4 linked regions of the Drosophila melanogaster genome follow. The gene in region 1 interacts genetically with each later gene. Each region holds a gene or a part of one and is shown in the gene's direction. Other genes may lie near its edges. The genes, in order: Ras85D, tor, Src64B and htl.

The links.
Region 2: of Ras85D (region 1) and tor, changing one suppresses a phenotype caused by changing the other (phenotypic suppression), as found in Drosophila melanogaster (3 studies listed by BioGRID).
Region 3: of Ras85D (region 1) and Src64B, changing one suppresses a phenotype caused by changing the other (phenotypic suppression), as found in Drosophila melanogaster (3 studies listed by BioGRID).
Region 4: of Ras85D (region 1) and htl, changing one suppresses a phenotype caused by changing the other (phenotypic suppression), as found in Drosophila melanogaster (4 studies listed by BioGRID).

Annotation. Positions count from the first base shown.
Region 1 is NT_033777.3:9,510,036-9,514,695, reverse strand, and holds Ras85D (Ras oncogene at 85D), read left to right. Parts: upstream 1-1,628; 5' UTR 1,629-1,908; intron 1,909-2,243; 5' UTR 2,244-2,404; coding exon 2,405-2,543; intron 2,544-2,699; coding exon 2,700-2,956; intron 2,957-3,014; coding exon 3,015-3,188; 3' UTR 3,189-4,135; downstream 4,136-4,660. Other genes in the region: Rlb1, read right to left, coding at 1-1,249, 1,307-1,333. UniProt on the Drosophila melanogaster protein: Ras proteins bind GDP/GTP and possess intrinsic GTPase activity. Plays a role in eye development by regulating cell growth, survival of postmitotic ommatidial cells and differentiation of photoreceptor cells.
Region 2 is NT_033778.4:7,704,662-7,710,812, reverse strand, and holds tor (torso), read left to right. Parts: upstream 1-1,628; 5' UTR 1,629-1,867; coding exon 1,868-2,020; intron 2,021-2,087; coding exon 2,088-2,318; intron 2,319-2,470; coding exon 2,471-2,708; intron 2,709-2,768; coding exon 2,769-2,851; intron 2,852-2,907; coding exon 2,908-3,076; intron 3,077-3,144; coding exon 3,145-3,450; intron 3,451-3,506; coding exon 3,507-3,842; intron 3,843-3,899; coding exon 3,900-4,071; intron 4,072-4,132; coding exon 4,133-4,631; intron 4,632-4,698; coding exon 4,699-4,793; intron 4,794-4,846; coding exon 4,847-4,969; intron 4,970-5,029; coding exon 5,030-5,167; intron 5,168-5,223; coding exon 5,224-5,397; intron 5,398-5,455; coding exon 5,456-5,510; 3' UTR 5,511-5,630; downstream 5,631-6,151. Other genes in the region: CG1941 (uncharacterized protein), read right to left, coding at 20-117, 169-297; CG34216 (uncharacterized protein), read left to right, coding at 5,876-6,151. UniProt on the Drosophila melanogaster protein: Probable receptor tyrosine kinase which is required for determination of anterior and posterior terminal structures in the embryo.
Region 3 is NT_037436.4:4,623,091-4,627,939, reverse strand, and holds the start of Src64B (Src oncogene at 64B), read left to right. Parts: upstream 1-1,807; 5' UTR 1,808-2,003; exon of another isoform or gene 2,004-2,177; intron 2,178-2,546; exon of another isoform or gene 2,547-2,611; 5' UTR 2,612-2,730; intron 2,731-4,849. Other genes in the region: HDAC1 (histone deacetylase 1), read right to left, coding at 1-329, 408-520, 958-1,000. UniProt on the Drosophila melanogaster protein: Tyrosine-protein kinase that may play a role in the development of neural tissue and smooth muscle. May contribute to tyrosine phosphorylation of Dscam1, a cell surface receptor involved in targeting of growing axons during eye morphogenesis.
Region 4 is NT_033777.3:18,049,951-18,054,614, reverse strand, and holds the start of htl (heartless), read left to right. Parts: upstream 1-1,630; 5' UTR 1,631-2,113; intron 2,114-4,664. UniProt on the Drosophila melanogaster protein: May be required for patterning of muscle precursor cells. May be essential for generation of mesodermal and endodermal layers, invaginations of various types of cells and CNS formation.

The DNA of each region.
Region 1 (4,660 bases):
CGGTTAATTGATTGATACTTGGAGCAATAATTTCCGCCGCCTGGCCGTCGTCGCCGAATGTAATCTTCTTGCCTCTAAAATCACCAATGATTGGTTTCTGCTGTTGCTTAGCCAGCCAGGAGGGATGACGATCATCAGTTGGCTTTCTCGCTTTGAACTCTGGCTGTCTTTCCGGTTTCTCCCGATATGTGTTCGACCGTCGATCCTCATTGCGGAACCTTTTGACTGGCGGCGGTGCCTGTTCCTCATCAGCTTCGCTGTCATTGTCCCCGGAAAGAACCACGGCGCTGGACAAGTAGGGCTGGCCTGATTCCGTAATGAAGAAGGGATCAACGACATGTGTGGGACGATTATTGTCAAGTTGTGGTTCTTCTTCATCGATACTTGGCTGCCTTTCTAATCGTGGCTTAGGCTTCTGCTCTCTGGCTGGTTTTTTCTCGAAGGGTTTTGGCTTAGATTCTTTCGGTCTGCCTTCTAGTTGTGGCTCTGCATTATTCTCCTTGATTGTATTTAAATTCTGCTTTTTGGAACTGAGCTTAGTTATCTCCGGGTTGATCTGCTCATCAAAAGCTTGTTTTTTCTGAAGGTTTCTTTCTTTTTTGGCTGGTGTTTTAGGTGTCTTTTCCTTTTTGACTTTGAGAACTGGAGAATTTTCAGTTTTTGCAAAAGACTGTGGTATTTCCTGATCATTTACTTTGCTGACTTGAAGAGTGGGCGTTTCCGCAGTTGCTCCATTAACATCTGCATCCACCACTTTGTTCTGCTCTAACCACTCCAGTCGGTTTTTGGTTTGGGCCTTCTGCTCCTTCAGCTCCTTGCGCTTCCTCTTCCGCTCCTCAGTGCGTTCTATTTTGGCCCTTCGCTTGCTCGTCTCTAGGATCTCCTCACGCCACTTGGCCTCCTTATCGGTGGTGCTCAGCTTCAAGGTTTCCACAAACTTGTCCACCAGTCCGTGCATCAATTTGTTTAGCCGCAGCATGGCAATGCCCAGTTCATCCGGCGTGGAGCGCTCGTTAGCAATCACCGCATTGGGATTTGTGCCCTCCTGCAGGAGCGACTGGCGTACCATATCCATATATTTTAGAGCCTTCAACTGGGCCAGGCATTCTGTGTTCTTGCGTAAACGAATCTTTTCCTTTTCACTGTCTGGATTTTTGGCCAGAGCCTCTTTTGTCTTTCGCAGCTTTTGTACGATTTTGGCGATGGTCTGGGCGCGTGCCTTTTGAATGACCTTCTTGTTGGATATCACCTGTAAAAGTTCTTTTTAATTAAAACTCTATAATTTTAAATAAAATCGTTTATTTACCAAATTATTGAATTTCAATCTGTCCATGCTGTTTTCGTTACAGTGGTGGTTGAAATAATAGACTCAGGCTTGAGTCCGTGCTAAGAAACGGTGATGCCAGCCCGTTGAACTTAAATTAACAATTATTAAAAGCAGAAAGCGTCTGCCAGTTTTTACAGAAAGCTGTATTGATCAAATCATTTATTAGTTTAAGCAAATTATAGAGAGTCGACTGAAGTGCATCCACCTCTTTAGATTAGTTTTCATATAGCAATCGCTATTGCAAGTCCATCGATGGTGCCGGCCAGAATGCAGCCATCGCTATCGATAGTGCCATCGGCTTGGTGCCAGCTCTAGTATCTTCACAGCTACGTACAGCCTAGATTTCATCTTCATTTCACATACGGATTTATTGTTTTCCTGCGCTGTTAATTGCAATTACCGCACGGCAATTAAATTGGTGCCATCGAGGAGTACCGCCTGTCGCACCGTTAGCCGCGAAAGTGACGTGAAACGTGCCCAGCAACTGCGCCGCGCGCGAGAAGAGAGAGGCAGAGTATTGATAGAGAGGAGCGGAGCGGAAAAACAAGGAGGAGCTAGCTGAAGAGGCAGCAACAAAGAAGGTCCGCAGCCCCGGCAGGCAAAAGAAAAATAATAAAGAAAAGGGCTAAAAACAACGCCGCCGAATTAGCAAATTCACCTAGTTAACAACTCGGCTATGGGGGAGACTAACTAATTTGCATTGAGCGAATGGGTTTTAATTTTAGTTTGAGTCATTGATCTCTTTTTCCCATTTTTTTTTGTGTTGCCCGTCTGGCTGTGTGCATGCAGTGGTGCGTGTGTGTTTGTGCGAGTAAGCGCCTAGTCACAGTGACTCAGTGACGTGCATTAATTCCTGCCTAATTATGCGTTTAATTTATTTTAATCAATCTTAATTAATAATTTACTCCACTTGCAGCCCATACACGCACAGTCACCCACACAAACACACGCAACAAGCGTACGGAGAGAGAGACTGCATCTGCGGGCGCTTCACAAGAGAGTAAGCATCGATCGCGAGAAAGAGACTGTTACTGTGACATTTGACTACGGCAAATCGAAAACGGACGCCACAGCCAAATGACGGAATACAAACTGGTCGTCGTTGGAGCCGGAGGCGTGGGCAAGTCCGCGCTCACCATCCAGCTAATCCAGAACCATTTCGTGGACGAGTACGACCCCACAATCGAGGACTCTTACCGAAAGCAAGTGGTTATCGGTGAGTTATATGTACTTAGATCTGGCAAAGCTAGGGCTGCACAGGTCCAAATACTCTAGAGATTTCTGCACCCTTTCGCTGGTTTGGTTTCCCGTTTATACTAGAAGAGACCTTAAGAAGTTGCGATATTCAAATGCATTTTATATTCCCCTGCAGATGGAGAGACCTGCCTGCTGGACATCCTGGACACCGCCGGCCAAGAGGAGTACTCGGCCATGCGGGATCAGTATATGCGGACTGGCGAGGGATTCCTGCTGGTCTTTGCCGTCAACAGTGCGAAGTCCTTCGAGGATATCGGCACCTACCGTGAGCAGATCAAGCGCGTAAAGGATGCCGAAGAGGTGCCCATGGTGCTGGTGGGCAACAAATGTGATCTGGCCTCGTGGAACGTTAACAACGAGCAGGCAAGAGAGGTGAGTACCGGCCTTCAGAGTTCCGAGCGAACATTCCGTTAATTATGGTTGTTCTCAGGTGGCCAAACAGTACGGCATTCCATACATTGAGACATCCGCCAAGACGCGCATGGGCGTGGACGATGCATTTTACACACTGGTGCGCGAAATCCGCAAGGACAAGGACAACAAGGGGCGGAGGGGCCGCAAAATGAACAAGCCGAATCGTAGATTTAAATGTAAAATGCTCTAAACGGCCACGCATTGGTTATTATTCACTTTTTATTTCTTCAAATGTCGCCTGTTTGTCTGTATGTGCGTCGGCGAATCGCCGATCGTCCTGGGCTCGATGGTTTGTCCATTTTGGACACACAATGCGAAAAACACACACATGTGGGAGCGTGTTGGTCGGTGCAATTGTCAGATAAAAGAAGAGAAATTGTAATTAATTTAAGTAACTAGAGTTTTATGTACGTCGAAATGATTTTGTGAATGTGTGTGTTTTGTGTCGTTTGAAAGGCTGCGAGGCGCCCTTTTAAGAGTATTAACAATAACAAGCAAACAAAAACGAACGAAGCAAATCGAAAATGAAAATGAATATGTACCTCTACATAAAAACTATGAATACTGTTGTAACTGCCTTGGTTCAGCTGCTATATCCGTTTGTTTTCAACCAGCACTTAACTTGATTCTATGTTGTTTGTACTTCAACAGATACTCCGTGCTTAAAACCGAAACGCGATGTAAACAAATATTGTGTATTTTTACAGCCCTGTTATCTATTGGTTTCAACCCGACAGTCATACATAAATGTAATCTTTTTTCGCACACACGCACGAGCAGAATTCCATTAGTATTCATCATTAGAGAACAAACAAGCAAAAGCCGATAAGCTCACAGCAACTTTCGCACAAACGAGTAAATTCGCTAGCCCCAAACTAGATTTATGTTCGGTTAAACACATATCTGTGGTGCTACGATGATGAAATTATAATCCGTATGAGTTCTTGAGATTTGCCTTTCTTTCTACTTACCATACTGACAGATCAATCGGAGAGAAAACAAACAGCCAATTAAATTTACATTATATAGTTTGCTTTAAGCTTTTTATACATACATACATACATTTAATATTTAATTTTTTGTATTAATTTTTGCCATACAAAAAGAAACGAAATAAATCGATTGTGTGTACTATTTATGAAAAGTGGTTTTAGTTATTCCATAGTTTTGCTTTTGTGGATTCTATTTTTCCATCTAAAGTCTCCTGTCTTGTTGAGCCAAATATTCTATTATTTGAATTTTTGCGTTGCGCGCGTAAATTGCAGTATGCCTACATTTCGATAATTCGAAGAGCATTTTCGAATATCGGCGATGTCTAGTCGATAGAAATCTGAGACACGTCCAAATATCAAACCATCGATGAATGTGCTGTCATCGTATCACTGTCAACTCTAACATAGACTTTTGTACGGTTTTCTATTGATCTCGGAAACTGTAGTTTGTCACAAGCGTTTGTTCATTGTATAAAATTTACTACGCCGAAAGCAGCAAAATAGAAATATTACCAGTATTAAGAGCACAGCCAACATCAAAAGGTAAGCCATAACGCTAGCATAGAAAAGAACATTTGGCGAAAAAGTCGATTGACGCGGTCGCCATTTTGTTTTCGCGGACGCCGCTCCGGGTGTGTACTACTACGAATATTGCAAGAACTACAAAACG
Region 2 (6,151 bases), on another chromosome or scaffold:
GGGACTTCATGACGCCTACCCATTGCCATCCATAATGGAGTGGGTTCTCTTGTGATTCGCGTAGACGTAGACCAAATAGATGACCATAATGGTGCGCCACAAAAGGCTTCCATAGAACTGGAAGGGAATGCTTTACTTTTCAAAATATTGAAGCACTGATGTATTTACCAGCACGGCAGCAACGAAGAAATAGGATCCAAAGGAGAGTATCATAAAGGATAGGATTAGGAAGGCCATGGCAAACGTCTGGCGACGCCGTTCCATGGGAACTCCTTTGGGAGCCCACTCGATTTTCATGATGTCAGAGCTCTCGAACTCGGAAAGTTGAACTACTTGGTAGCACGGTCCTCCGGCGACTGAAAAATGGAAATGTTCAATGTTTAGTTACCATTTCTTATCCTTATCAGTATCCGTCGGTGGCGCGAGTGCGTGGCTATTGGTTAGAGTTGTTAAAAAAATACCTTCGATTTAATGGCTATTCGCTTGGGGTGTTTAAAAATTCGAGCAATCAAGATAATGACTTGCTCTATATGGACGTCTGGCTAGAATGCCGATATGATATTATATGATATGATCTTATCATTGCCAACAACAGCCGGCTTTAACGTTTGTCCGATACTTGTGATCACATATATATAATTATTGTTTTGAAATTTCAATTGCAACTGGTTTGAATGCCTTTAGAAAGAGAACGAAACTGCTGTTGCACGACAACCTCCTCACTTTAATTGAATGGTGATAAAACTAACTGGGAGTTACTCGTATTGCTTTTGATCCGATCCGCTTTGGCCTAGTATCACAGGCTAATTATTTTAAACTTGTAGAGCTTTAATAAACTAGACGCTCCCATAGAAATTTATTATTAATGTTTACACACGTAATGGATCGTTATCGCGTTTGAGCAGCAGAACCGACGATGCGAGCGTACAACATTTAACTAAACTTGCGAGTGGCACTGAATGCTCGAGTTTCCCATGTGAGTGTTTCGAGTACTCGAATGCGATGCAACAATTGAGTCACCAATGTAATCGAGCGTTCTATACGAATAACCTGAATCAGAGGCAACTGAGGTCATGTGCATTTGCAAGTCGCTATAAGGAAATACCTGTATTGTCAGCTCTGTTCCAATTGAAATGGAATCAGGGAAAGTGTGATCACGCAAAAGCTACAATGTGGGCGAAATTAGCATAGTTGTTTTTTGGTTAATTTCGAATATTGGCGCCCAACATGGTTTCTAGGGATGGAAGCGACCAGCACTGCATTCTGATTTATCGGTTTGCTGCAATACAAGCTCTTTTGGCGCAACAGATCATAGAAGATTGAAATACAAACGTTGTTGGTGGTATCACAAATGAAAATTGCGAAGAGTTATCTGAAGTCAATGTTCTATGCTTATCCCAAGCCCTGGCGCTACTATGACGGAGTAGCGATCCAAATTTTTGCATTTCAAATGACCCCTAGTCCAATCCCATCCATACGATCAAGTACAATACGATGCAGTGAAGAGGTGAAAAACAAATCAAAACAAAATAGCGCAAAATATATTCAACGAGTCCGCCGCTTCTCATCATTCCTCCTTCTTCGTCGCTTTTTTACCATCGCATTTTTGGCCTCAGTTTCTCAGTTCTTTCTCAGTTCAGCAAGATAATCCGAGAAGGACGGATGGTATTGATCTCGAAAGTTGGAATCTAGAAACTAAGTATTCGAATTTGCTGTGTGTGTTATTGAGTTTTGTATCAAAGTGCGTGGTGGCAAAAGTGCAATAAACTTTAAGTCGGTTTTAAACAAATACACATTTCATTCCAACACACACACACCGACACACAACGAAGAACTAAAGAAGGGTTTCAAAAGCAGAACAAGGAAAATGCTTATTTTCTACGCGAAGTACGCATTTATCTTCTGGTTTTTCGTGGGAAGCAATCAAGGTGAAATGTTGCTAATGGACAAAATCTCTCACGATAAGACGCTTCTCAACGTCACCGCTTGCACCCAGAATTGTCTGGAAAAGGGCCAGATGGTATGTTTACACCCTTAGAATGTTGGAACACTCCATAACCAAAAGTGCATGCTTCTTTTCTCGACAGGATTTCCGAAGCTGTTTAAAGGACTGCAGGATTAATGGAACATTTCCCGGGGCTCTGCGCAAGGTGCAGGAAAACTACCAGATGAACATGATCTGCCGCACGGAGTCGGAAATCGTTTTCCAAATAGATTGGGTGCAGCACAGCAGGGGAACCGAGCCGGCTCCAAATGCCACCTACATAATCCGGGTGGATGCTGTCAAGGACGACAACAAAGAAACTGCGCTTTACCTGGTCAGATATTAGATGTAAACTCATTACTATTTACTTTAAAATACCATTTTATTTGATGAATTTCTAGAAAAAGATGTACTATGTAGTCATCAAGACCTAATGTTTCGTTTTACAAGTGGATCGCTCTTTTTCATCGACTTATTCGCTTGCAGTCTGATGACAACTTTCTCATCCTGCCGGGATTGGAGTCCAACTCTACCCACAACATCACCGCCCTGGCGATGCACGGAGATGGCAGCTACTCCTTGATAGCAAAGGACCAGACCTTCGCCACCCTCATCCGAGGCTATCAGCCCAGCAAAATGGGAGCGGTGAATCTGCTGCGGTTTGTCCCCCAACCAGACGACCTGCATCACATTGCTGCCGAAATCGAGTGGAAGCCATCGGCGGGTAAGTAGCTCCATCAGTTTAATCAATCAACGATCTACGAACCCTACTTTCATATTCCAGAGAGCAACTGCTATTTCGACATGGTGTCGTATTCAACCAACAGCGTGAATATGGACGAGCCACTGGAGGTGCAGTTCCGGGATGTGAGTATGCCATGACGCCCCTGCAATGCTAGAGCATAGCTAATCTTTTACTGCAGCGCAAAAAGCTGTACAGGCACACGGTGGACAACTTGGAGTTTGACAAACAGTATCACGTTGGCGTAAGAACGGTGAACATAATGAATCGACTGGAGAGCGATCTGCAGTGGCTGCCAATCGCTGTTCCAAGCTGCTTGGATTGGTATCCCTATAACTACACACTCTGCCGTAGGTTCCTCGAAAGTCCTATATAATAATAATATTAATAATAATAATATTGTTCCACCCTTTCATAGCACCCCATAAGCCAGAGAATCTTACTGTGACCCAGAAGCAGTATCTGCCAAATATTTTGGCCCTGAACATCACCTGGGCGCGTCCCAGATACCTGCCGGATAACTATACACTTCACATCTTTGATCTATTCAAAGGAGGTACGGAGCTAAACTATACACTTGACCAAAACAGGAGCCACTTCTATGTACCCAAGATCACGGTACTGGGTTCCCATTTCGAAGTACATTTGGTGGCCCAGTCGGCAGGCGGAAAAAACGTATCCGGTTTGACGTTGGACAAGGTTCATCGAGGTGTGTTGCTGAGCGGTACGTACGCTGAAGGAAATTAAATATTTAGACATCCATTTCCATCCATTGAACAGAGGGCAACATGGTCAAGTTGGTACTCTTTATTATCGTGCCCATATGCTGCATTTTGATGCTGTGCTCCCTGACGTTCTGCAGACGAAATCGTTCGGAGGTTCAGGCGCTGCAAATGGACGCTAAGGACGCGAAGGCCAGTGAATTTCATCTCTCCCTGATGGACAGCAGTGGCCTGCTGGTCACCCTCTCGGCCAACGAGAGTCTGGAAGTAATGGACGAGCTGGAGGTGGAGCCACACTCGGTGCTCCTTCAGGATGTCCTCGGCGAAGGAGCCTTTGGCTTGGTGCGACGTGGAGTTTACAAGAAACGCCAAGTGGCCGTCAAGTTGCTGAAAGGTTGTACCATTTGGTATTGAAGTTCTTGAATAATTCATGGAATTTTTGTTCTCACAGATGAACCAAACGACGAGGACGTATATGCGTTCAAGTGCGAAATTCAGATGCTCAAGGCCGTGGGCAAGCATCCAAATATTGTGGGTATCGTGGGATACTCCACTCGTTTTAGCAACCAGATGATGTTGCTAATTGAATACTGCAGCCTTGGAAGCCTGCAGAACTTTTTACGGTAAGTTATTTTTATACATATTGGAAAACAAGTGATGTATAGTAAAAAATGTATTACTTAGTGAGGAGTGGAAGTTCAGGCAGGAGCAAAATGCAATTGGACTTAAGAAGAACCTTGAACAGAACGTGGACAACCGACGGTTTAACCGACTCCCTAGAAATTCCATCCATGATCGCATAGAGGATATCAACAACTCGATGCTGTCCACTGTGGAAGAGGAGAGTGAATCGGATCAGACACACTCAAGTCGATGTGAGACCTACACCCTCACTCGAATAACCAATGCAGCCGACAACAAGGGCTATGGCCTGGAGGACATTGAAAACATCGGTGGGAGTTACATTCCCAAAACCGCTGAAGCTCCAAAGGATCGGCCAAAACGGAAGCTGAAGCCGCAGCCCAAGAAAGACTCGAAGCAGGATTTCAAATCGGACAACAAGAAGCGAATCTTTGAGAACAAGGAATACTTTGATTGCCTCGACTCATCGGATACCAAGCCCCGAATACCACTGAAATATGCAGATTTGCTAGACATCGCCCAACAGGTGGCGGTGGGAATGGTAGCCTACATCTACTCTATCCCTAAATGTAATTAAAAAGTGTAGCATGTATCATTTGCCATTTTAGGAATTTCTGGCCCAAAACAAAGTAGTGCATAGGGATCTGGCTGCCCGGAATGTTCTAATCTCCGTAGATCGCAGCATCAAGATAGCAGATTTTGGGTGGGTATCTCTGAAAGTTCAATGATTAGTTATATTGTGTTTTTTTTTTTAAGGCTGAGTCGAGATGTGTATCATGAGAACGTGTACCGAAAGTCCGGAGGAAGTGGCAAGCTGCCCATCAAGTGGCTCGCGCTGGAGTCCCTCACCCACCAGGTGTACACCAGTCAGAGCGATGTGTAAGTATATATTTTTGTTAAGTCCGAAGCGATTTTGTGGCTGATATCTTACCCTCTTAGTTGGTCCTTTGGTGTGCTGCTCTATGAGATCACCACTCTCGGTGGAATGCCATATCCGTCGGTGTCTCCCAGTGATCTCTTGCAGCTACTGCGACAAGGTCATCGGATGAAGCGACCGGAGGGATGTACGCAAGAAATGTGGGTATCAGTGCTTAGCGAAGTACATAATTGTTGATCACATTTGCTTAACTCAGGTTTTCCCTGATGGAAAGCTGCTGGAGCTCCGTGCCATCACACAGGCCAACATTTTCCGCCCTTAAACACAGACTTGGTGGCATGATTTTGGCCACTAACGATGTTCCAGAAAGGCTGAAACAACTGCAAGCTGCAACCGAGTCAAAATTAAAGTCATGTGACGGTCTAAACAGGTAAGTAATCTTTAAAAAGACAATTGTATACGTTACTTTCTTACCTTTTACAATTTAGTAAAGTGGAGCAAGTGCCATGCGAGGAAGAGCTATACCTAGAACCTTTGAATTAATAGTCATTGCTTCAAGATTATAATGAACGAGTGCAATACATTCTAAATTCGAGTTCCAATTCAGACAATGCTATGCGCCAGATAACCTTGCATAGCAATAAACATTAAAGCTAGCCTAAGAAAAATTTAATTTCTTTTTTATAAGAAAAACCAAGATATTTATAGAGTAAACTTCTAGCAGTGCCCTTTATGTCTCATAGAAACCGACCATTTCAAAATGTTTGTGCCTCCTTGCGGCTTAGGTTTCGAAAGAAGGTCGTTTATTTGGACCCCAATCAGCATCATTTTTGAAAATTCCAAATTGAAAGTCGGTCCAAGCTGGCTTGTTTACAGTGTTTCAATTCTACTTCTGGCCACCTCGATCGATGTGCATCCACTGCTGTCGCCTCCGCCGGACACCATGTCCACCGATTCCCTACAGCTGTCCACACTGCCCGGTGCGCACCATCTCCAGCTGCTGTCCACTGGGCAGTCGGCCCCTCGCCGAGAATCCTTTCATAAGAGGTCCGGATCGGGAGCCAACCCCCGATCCCTGCGACACCTTGCCACCGCGCTGGCTGGACCTCAATCGACGGGTCATATTTGCCTTGGCAAAAAGATTATGTCGATCTCCAGAGGCAGCTCATTATATTTTGCTTCGC
Region 3 (4,849 bases), on another chromosome or scaffold:
AGCAGTTCCAGAATTCCCAGAACAATGTCGTTGACGTAGCAGAAGCCCGAGGCTTCCGATTTTTTGGCGTGATGCAGCCCACCGCCCCAATTGATGCAGATCTCCGAGGCTTGCTTATTCAGTTTTACGGCCGCAGCTACGGATCCTCCGGCGGAGAGTTGGCAAAACTCGTATAGTCCATCGAAGACGGGACAATCTTCGCCGACATTGAAACGCTGCATCTGCTTGTTGTACTCCGACATGTTGTCCGGCCGAATGGATCGCAAGAACCGGACGTACTCGTCCGAGTGGAACTTGGTCATCTCATCGGCAGTGGCTTTATGGGGACGCTAGAATAGAGAAATTCGCGTTTAAATCTATCATATATATATATATATCTATCATCACATATTAATAAAGTAACTCACGTATATTTCCATTTTTCGATAGAGCCCATAGTTGAGCAGCAGGTTGTGGGTCATGCGTATGCGATGGGGCTTCATGGGATGACCCTGGCCATAGTAGTAGTTGCCAATGTCGCCTATGGATCAAAAATCGCAATTATGAGCACGTTGAAAAAGTAATTATTTGCCACGCTATGTGGAATACAAATTTTAAGGCCACTGTCGGCGAGGCGTCTGCCTGAGAGCAGCACTTTTTCCGAACGACCGCAGTAGTAGCACTTTCGCCCCGAACGAAAAAGCAACAAAAACACACAGAAGAGGAAGATAGACATCAGGTACATACACACACAAACGCATACAAACGCACTGCGGTCGTATGGAAAAAGTGCGCTGTGGACCGGAACGCGCTCGTACAGTCGCCGTAAAACTTGAAATTTGCAAAAATGCTATCATCTGATGCTAAGTGGATGCGGAAAAAACACAAAGTCGACATGGTAACCCTAGCTGGCACTTTGTAAACACAAATTACCCATCTAGTAGGCCTTTTACTTCCATTTAAATGCTCAAAACTTACTGTCGTAGTAGTAACAAACGCGCTTTTTGCTGTGAGACTGCATTTTGCGGTGCTGTTGGCGGGTCTTAAATCCCCTTAAAGTCGATGTTTTTCTATCCTTCGTCGATCGGATGAACTTGCGAGCTCAGAAGATGGTTTACTTTGGTGCCGGTCCGATTTTTGGCACTTTGGCGCAACTATATAGCCAAAATCGGAGCGCACAAGACAAATTCGCGAAGAGGAAACCTCTGCAGATGGGCAGTGTGACCGCGGACTTTTTTAAATCCACACTTCCCGGCTCTGCAGAATATACTTTTAATACTAACTGCATGAATACCGAAAATACCAAACAAATATATTTAATTATTTATTAAAGAAATATATTTAATAAATTTACATATGAAATACGATTACCCTCTTCATACAGAGTGGTCATTTTTTATTAGATATATAAACAATCAGACCTATGTACTTATCAAAAATTATCAAATATCACGACATATTTTTTGGAAAAATAGCAAGGATCAATTATAAGTTTATAAAGCAAAGTTTATTGGCTAAGATCACGTTGCAGAGTCTGAAGCTGGAACTAGAGATGTTGTTGGAAAACATTTAAGTTTAAGCATTCGAATAAACTAATTGATTTCAATATTTTCTATACAAATATAAATGATTCATTATAATTTAAGAAAAACAAAAACACAGAAGTAATAGGTTGTAGTCCGGGGTAAATAATGTTAAGTCGATTAATCGATAGGAATCCATGCTAATATCGAACTTGGCCCATCGCCAGAGGGTGCATTCCCTCTCTCTCTTTCAGAGCATCACCCATCTCGCTCTAAAATCCACCGCAGTTTCCCACGATTTTCCTTCTCACTCTAAAATTCACCGTTGAACGACTCGGACGCGATTTTCCAGCGCGGGTGATTTTCCTCCTCGGTCGGCGTTTTTCGGCGGCTTCTTATCGACAAACAATAGTGCTCAAGTACAACGAGATTTTGTAGTGTTTTGGAGTTGCTGAATTAGAGGCGATTGTTAATTGAATAAAATTAATAAAACGGCGACGCGTAAGTTTCCAACTCCCCCATGTGCAAGTGTGCGTGTGTGCCCTGTGTGTGTGTGTGAAAAAAGAGAAAGAAGAATGGAGTTGCAGTGGAAACACAAACACGCTCTCTCGCTCCATCTCCCTCGCACGCACACACTCACTGGGCGAATGAAGAAGTGGAAAAATTAAAACCGAAGTAAAGTGACAAAGCGAAGTGGCCAATAATGCAAGAAAAAACATATGAAACCCGCAGTGAACATTTAAAACAAAATTAACATTTTTCATAGGCGGCTAAAATATCCTGCGCAGCTTTTCTCTTTCCGACTTTTCTCTTTTTCCCTTAAGAGTCTTTTCCTATGCCTTTCCCCCTCGGAGACCAACGCCTCTCCTTCGCAACTTTCTGTTACTTTATGTTAACTTCTCCCCTTCTTTCTCTTGGTTTTCCTCCTGTATTTTTCTCTGTTGTTGTTGCTGTGCCCGCAGGATATTTAAGACCTTTTTTTGCTGGCGTTTAATTATAGTTTTCATTGCTCTCTCTCCTTCCCGCATCTCTTTTTCCAATTAGCGTCGAAGTTCGGCGTAAAGTAAACAGCAAAAATATAGTATTTGTTGTTTTTATTTGGCCCGCAGACCGTGCAGTAAAAACAACAACTTTAACAGGCGTAACTGTAAAGTCCGCTTTGCTTTTGATAGCAAATAAAGAGAATCGGAATCCGCAGCAAAGTTTTGATTTATTCTAATTAAAAAAGGTAAGTGCGATATAAAACCGGATTATAGCTCCTTTTCATTCGCACCTCCTTGGCCCGAAGTGCCGTTAGGAAGAGAAGCCAATGAACGCAAATAAGTAAACACAAAAACTAAAAAAAAGAGTGCTAGATTTGCTCTCCCGCTGCATTTCTATTTATGCTTCTGTGGCTGATAATGTGTACAGTGAAAAGTCGAAAGATGAAAAAATAATGAAGAAATGGAATAAAGCTTAACTTAAGGAATCTTAAGACTTGTTGTTTGTTATATTTCGACACATACTAACCATTTCTTCAGGCTTCTTTGCGCTTAAAAAAATACCCAATTGGAGTAAATTTGAAAAAAAAAAAACATTTCAAGCTTTATGATAATTTGGTTCTAAAAATTTATTTGCAACCACTAAATTGTGTTTGGTTCACTTTATCGACGGTCTACCGTATTTAGTTATTGCTCCGGCTGCTGTAAAAAGTCAAAGAGCATTTGTTGTTGCTGCTATTGTAATTGCTTCCAATTTGTGGAGAGCCATTGGATGACGAGTGAATGGGGTTGGGGAAGGGAGATGGAAAGAAGAAGCTCAAGAGCAGCAGGCGTCGGCGCAGCAGCTGCTCCTTCTCTCTCTCTTCCTCTCGCTCTTTCCATCTGGTTTATCCCTTGTGCGCTATTTTCGGCATTTTGTGCTTATTTATTTACCTTTTGGTGGCTTGTTTATTAACCCCTCCTCTTCCCTTCTACTCTAAATCGCTCCATGTGCTTTGAAGTTCAAGCCACAAAATTTGTTTTTATTATTTTTTTTATTTGTTCGTTTCTTTTTTTTTGTACATTTGTAGCTTATCTGTTGCAGTAAAGTTTCACCCTCACTCCAAAAATTTAAACCCCTTCAATTAACATTGCTGCCGTCTGTTTTCTGTTTTTGCTACTTCTTTCCTTTTTCCCTCAGTTGTCTTTCCTTTTTTCTCCTTTTACTTTTTGTGGCCAGCCGCTGATAAAGACCGCAAATAGTTTGTCTTTGCTTCACATTTTTTGTGTACAGTGGCTATCGCTTAAAGGTAACTAAAAACGAAACAGGAAACTTAATTTCAGGAAGTGCAGAGAAATTCCAGTCCTGAGAGCGTTACTTCGTCAGAACTCGATTTGATTCTTTAAGATTAATTAAGGTGTATTGATACTCGAATTTGGTGAGCTCATTTAAACACCTTAATATAAATATGTGTGTGTACGTATCCGAATCACAAATCTTATCTGATTGTGACCTTTATGTTGGCCGTTGAAAATCATAGCCGTTTATCACTGTACAGATTTATGGCCGCTTCTTCTGGAGTCTGTTGCTCTTTAACCCTTAATTGGTGAGTGGGGGTTTTCAATGGAGATCCATTTGAGTGCAACTGGGCAATTATGCTGTTTGGCCGCTGTCCGCTCCTAAGCCCCATTCCCTTCGCCCTCCATTTTAGTGCCCCCTCGTCTTTGACCCCCTGCTAAATCATTGCAAAATGGCAATCGCAAAATGCTCTCAAACAAGTAAATCTGCTTAGCTCGACTAACGGCAAACTTGTTGAGATCTTTTCATTTCTCTATTTTGCTCGCAGTTCGCTCGCTGTTGTTGTTCTTCTTCAAATTTCCTATTTTGCACACAAAGCGTTTTACATGATACGGACGACCACAAAGGCATAGAGTCAATCGAAAAGGGGAGCGGGTGGTGGATGAAGGGGATAACACAGCGTGGGAGGTGCAATAAGGAGAATCCAAACGAATAAAAAGTAGTCAAAGCAACAGAAGTGGAGACGGAAGAAGCGGAACAAGTAGAAAACTCAATTGTTCATCGCTCTCTTTTAGCTCCTCCTTTGTTCCTTTCCCTGCCAGCTGTGCGTGTATGTGTGCGTGTTTGGCCACTTAGCCAGCAAACAATGCGCACAGCAGCAACGTTTTATTGATAAGAACTGAAAGGAGGAGAAAAGGCGATGGAAGTGAAGAGAGGAGAGCGGCGAAGGCGAGGAAAAGTGGAAAGTGCGTGGCAAGTGCGACAAAAAAGAATTAATGTAGAGATGATTGCCTGAGTGGAGAAAATTTCAAGTGGATTTTCCCTTTGATTGCCAGAAAATTACTACTTTTGAGAATTTTCAAATAAGA
Region 4 (4,664 bases), 8.5 Mb from region 1:
GAGATGGCTGCAGATCGTGTCGCCCAACTCGAAGATCGTGTCTCCAAAAGCCTGTTACCGTTCCCGATTTTTCATTTCCCATTCGCAGATTCCCAGAGCCAAATGGCCAAAGGCTCGACCAACCAGACTTTGAGCCAATTTCCCAATATTTATTTCTATGCTCGAAACGCTAACAACTTGCGTTTCGTTCTGGCCAAATTGAAAAGCCATACGGAAGCTGAAGCTGCGATCGGCAGCCTCGAGGAGAAGCACTTTTGGGTAGCCAAGAGGAGCCCGGTTTGGAGCCAGGTTGGAGCCAGGAGGCTTGCCCAGGAGTGCATAAAATTTAAGTATTATGACCATACACACTGATCGGTGGCCGTCTTTAACCCGTGCTTTCCCCGGTCTCTCTGCGGCTTTACGAGGTTGTTAACTGTTGAAACTATGCTAACCACTCATGGGGATCCTCCCTCCCAATTCCGCCGTGGAGCATCAATTAATCAGTCAGGCGTAACGCCATTTGGCACTGAACGGGTCCCGTCGGCCACAATTGATGGTCAATAATCGTTAATTGTTTTCGATTTTCGGCCAAAATCCCCCCTGCGTCATTGTCCATTGTTTGGCTAACCCTTTTCGTTATTTTTGGTGTCTCCATAGAGACAAACGCTAAACGATGCCATTGTCTTTGGCGCACAGCGTGTGTGCTTTGATGGCCTTTTCACCACGAGTGTCATTCATTAGAGGGGCTTTCTTCCATCGCCACTTGGCTACTGGTTCTTATGTGTCTGTTGGCCATTTGACATTGGCTATAAGTAGCTCATAATTAATAACTGCTAACTTACTTAGCGAGCTATTGTGTTGGCTAATGAATCTCATTCCGCATTTTCCGCCTCAAACGAAGCGCAAAGAAATGCGCAAAGAATTTGTCAGTAGAATCTTAGGCCCTCATAGGCCATAAATCTTTTTAAAAAATAATAATAATTAAATTCAAGTGACTGATCTATTCTGACTAAGATAAGTTAGCTATTCTTTTTAATAAAGCATGATCCATCAAACCAATTATAACTACATAAATAATTGATCTGAATATAAGGAATCTTTTTGACAACTACCCATCTTCTTTGCACCCTCATAATGAAATTCATGAATTTCCTCGCTGCGCTCGAAACTATGCAACATATTGTGCGTTAGAATATCTTTGAGATATTCCATTCGACTCAATTGAACGAATTTTAGAACGAGTGCGGTCTGTGCACTCAATTACATTTCACTTTCCAAGGGAAGGCCGCCACTCAGCTACACACTTGTGTGTGTGTGTGTGTGGGTCCCCCATATATAGGGTATAGGGGCCCCTATACCATATAGTACCATACATACATATACCGCATACCCAACCCCTCGCTTTTTCGACCCTTCCTCTCTTTGGCTGCGGATTATACAATGTGTGGCTGGCGTTCCGTTCAATTTTGTGTGTTTTCTGTATTTGTTTACGCGCCTGCCGCAAAAATACATTGCAGAGATGTGTTCTCCAGCATGTTGAAGTTGATGGGGGAAATGTGAATTCGTTTCATTTGTTCCCTCATTTAATTGAAGAGATTTATTTCGCAGAGCTGGCTCGGTTCTGTTCGGTTCGCTTGCTTTTTTTTGACTCAGTTGCGATCGGACTGCGTGCCGTTACAGTAGGCGAAATCGGAGGAAAATCGTTGGAAAATCGGTTGGAAAATCGTTGGAAAATCGGTGAAAAATCGTCGAAAATTAGAGCGAACGATCGATCGATTGAACGCGTAATAACGCCATATAATATAATTATACTAATAATTATTAGTAATGCCTCTTGGTGAAAACGCACACATTTTGTGGATGGAAAGAAACAAAACAGAGTCAAGTGTGCAACGGTTTCTGGTTCTGTTTAAGTGCCTAAGTGCCATATAAATGCGTACTAAAACATTTCTGGAATTTTAAGTGGAAACATTCTCGAATTCTGTGAACTTTCCCAATTGTGTTTTTAGTGAAAGACTTACAATTTAGACGAAGGCAAGGAGAAATTCCAACGCAGAGACACTTTGGTGGATATTTGGCAAGAAGCTTTTTGGCATTTTTTTTTTTTTGTTCGTGGAGCAACGCACTTTGTGAGGTAAGTCTTTAAAAATACACACCGTGCATCGTTTAATTTAGTTTATTTTGTTTTTGGTTTTTTTTGCGTAGTTGCGCAAATCATTTGTTTGATCCACTTTTTGATTGACCGCGCACAGCAATTTGACTTTTTAACCCAAAGGCCAAAAAGTGTAAAATGTGCAGTGGTTCGGTTCCAAAGCAATTTGTGTCGTTTATCCCGCTGTGTGTGTGTGTAGTCAATCGTTCAATTATCTATTCTCTGGCTACCCCATAATAATACAGTGAATATGGACAGTTGTGGGCTCCCCATAGTATCTGTTTTTTTTATTTTTTATTTATTCCATTCGGTTCTGCTATGGTACATGCTCAAATTGAAAGCACTTTTCCACAGGGTTCCCATTCTAATTTATATTTATTTATTTGCTTTTACAAGCCAACCGATGCCCCAGAGCTCGGGAAAATATTTCAAACTCATAATTCTGTTATATTCCAACGCTCCCTTAGAATGGGATTTTGTTTATTAACCAACAGCATATAGCATATATCGTATCATCTAGAGTCTAGATTCTAGAATGTAGACGGTATAGGAACATGCAATATTTTCTAGCCGCGTAAACAAACATTTCAACTTGTCTGCTCTTTGTCCGACTTGCTCTATATCTGAGTGAGTATATAGCTAAAGATATAGCTATCTGTGTGTATATATATGTATATATATATATTTATCGGGTATCTGTTTTGTCGGTCGGTTAGCTTTACGATGCCATCTTCTAGGTGATTCGGCTTCTGTTTTGTTGCCTTTGGCAATCACTCAATTTGCTGGCCGACAACCGAAGACGCTTCTTACTTTTCGCCTCCCTTCTCTGCAATTTATTTATGAATGATAATTAAGGTTAGGTTTGTTTAGCTAATTGTGCGGCCAGTTCCCGGTATTGTTCCCATATCATCTCAGGTGGGATCCACGCAGACTTTCGGTATGATCCTTTGATCTTTATGATGTTAAAGTACAAATGTCACGAGAATATATGCTTGCTATATAATATTAAATGTTTTCATGAGAGTTTATCATAAAATCAGTGTTTACCAAATAAAGATTTCGATTTAGAAATAGATTTATGTCAACAATAAAGTAATAATGTTATTTTTTGGTATTATAATATATTATAGCTTAAGCTTATCAATGCTACAGCACTTTTATAATGGATTTTGTTGTCTAAATGTTTGTGAGTACTAATAAAATTTTAAAGCTCTAAATGGCAAATTTACAAATATATAAGTAAAGCTTGCAACAATTTAAGAATAGCACATATTTATTTCAACTAAATCTGTTGAACGTTCTTTATATAAATCGCTGCGTGCTTTATATTTCTGAAATGTAAATCGAATCAATAGTTCACTACTCATATACTTTGTGATAATTTAACGTAGCTTCGCGTTTTTGATAAAGTCGACTTGCCACAATCGACCTTTCGCTCCATCTGCTTCTTTTCGTTTACCCCATGGGATGCAACCTTCTCGCCGTCACGTACTGAATGGTATATACTAGATGAACGGGTGGGGATGGATGGATGGATGGATGGCTGGATGGGATTGGCATTGGGTGGCTGATGGCTGGTGGAACCTGCCGACGAACCGTGCGAAATAACAGACTCGTGCCGGTCTCGACTTGGTATCGGATACACTGAGCGGCAGCGGGGCAACCGCCAAGTGCGTCAATTGCGGGTCAACCCGTGCGATTGAAATGGATGCGCCAAGTGACCGGCGATTTCAATTCGATGGGAAATGTACATATACCGTGCAATGTTTGTATACTTTGCAAATACTTTCCGGAACGTGTTTGTTTATAAATCGGGCGATTTTGGACGGCACAGGAAATACATACATATACTAAAATTGCGCGCTCATTATCGATGGAGGTGAAGGTCGGAGGGTGGAGATAGAATACCAAACATATATACAATTTTTGGCAGTTTCCGATTTGGCGGATGCCTTCCTGGAAGTCAACATTTCGGATAACCCCATCATTTAGACGCTGGAGTCGCTACTTCCCCTCGAGAATCGACGACAATGTCTGTGCAACACATGTGGCACGATCTTAGGTAGACATACGTATATGTACATTCGTGTATGTTCGATGCTGATGATGTGCCCACATGTTGCAGTCAACAATAGAGCAACAAATGCAAGCCGAAACAATATTTGCCCTTGTCTCTGCTCTGACTCTGACTGTGGGCGTGGCGACGGGGGCGGGAGAACAGAGACAACTGAACACAGTAGTCTTCTCCGCCGGCCGTTATTTTTGTTGCTTTTAATTTCTTTAATTTTTTTTTGTCCGCCAGATGTGGGCTGAATGTTGAATGCGGACTGGAAAGATCAGACCCAGAACGCGGAGAGAAACTGTGTCTGTTTTAATTAAAGATGAGAGTAATACCCAGTGCAAACTGAGAGATACCGCCGATACTGAGATACAAAGCCAGACGGGGCTGGCATGTGTGGAAAATTAAGGCTGCCGTTGAAAGCGAAAAGATGCGGGACGCTAAAGGCAACGACCATCCAAACAGAACAGAACC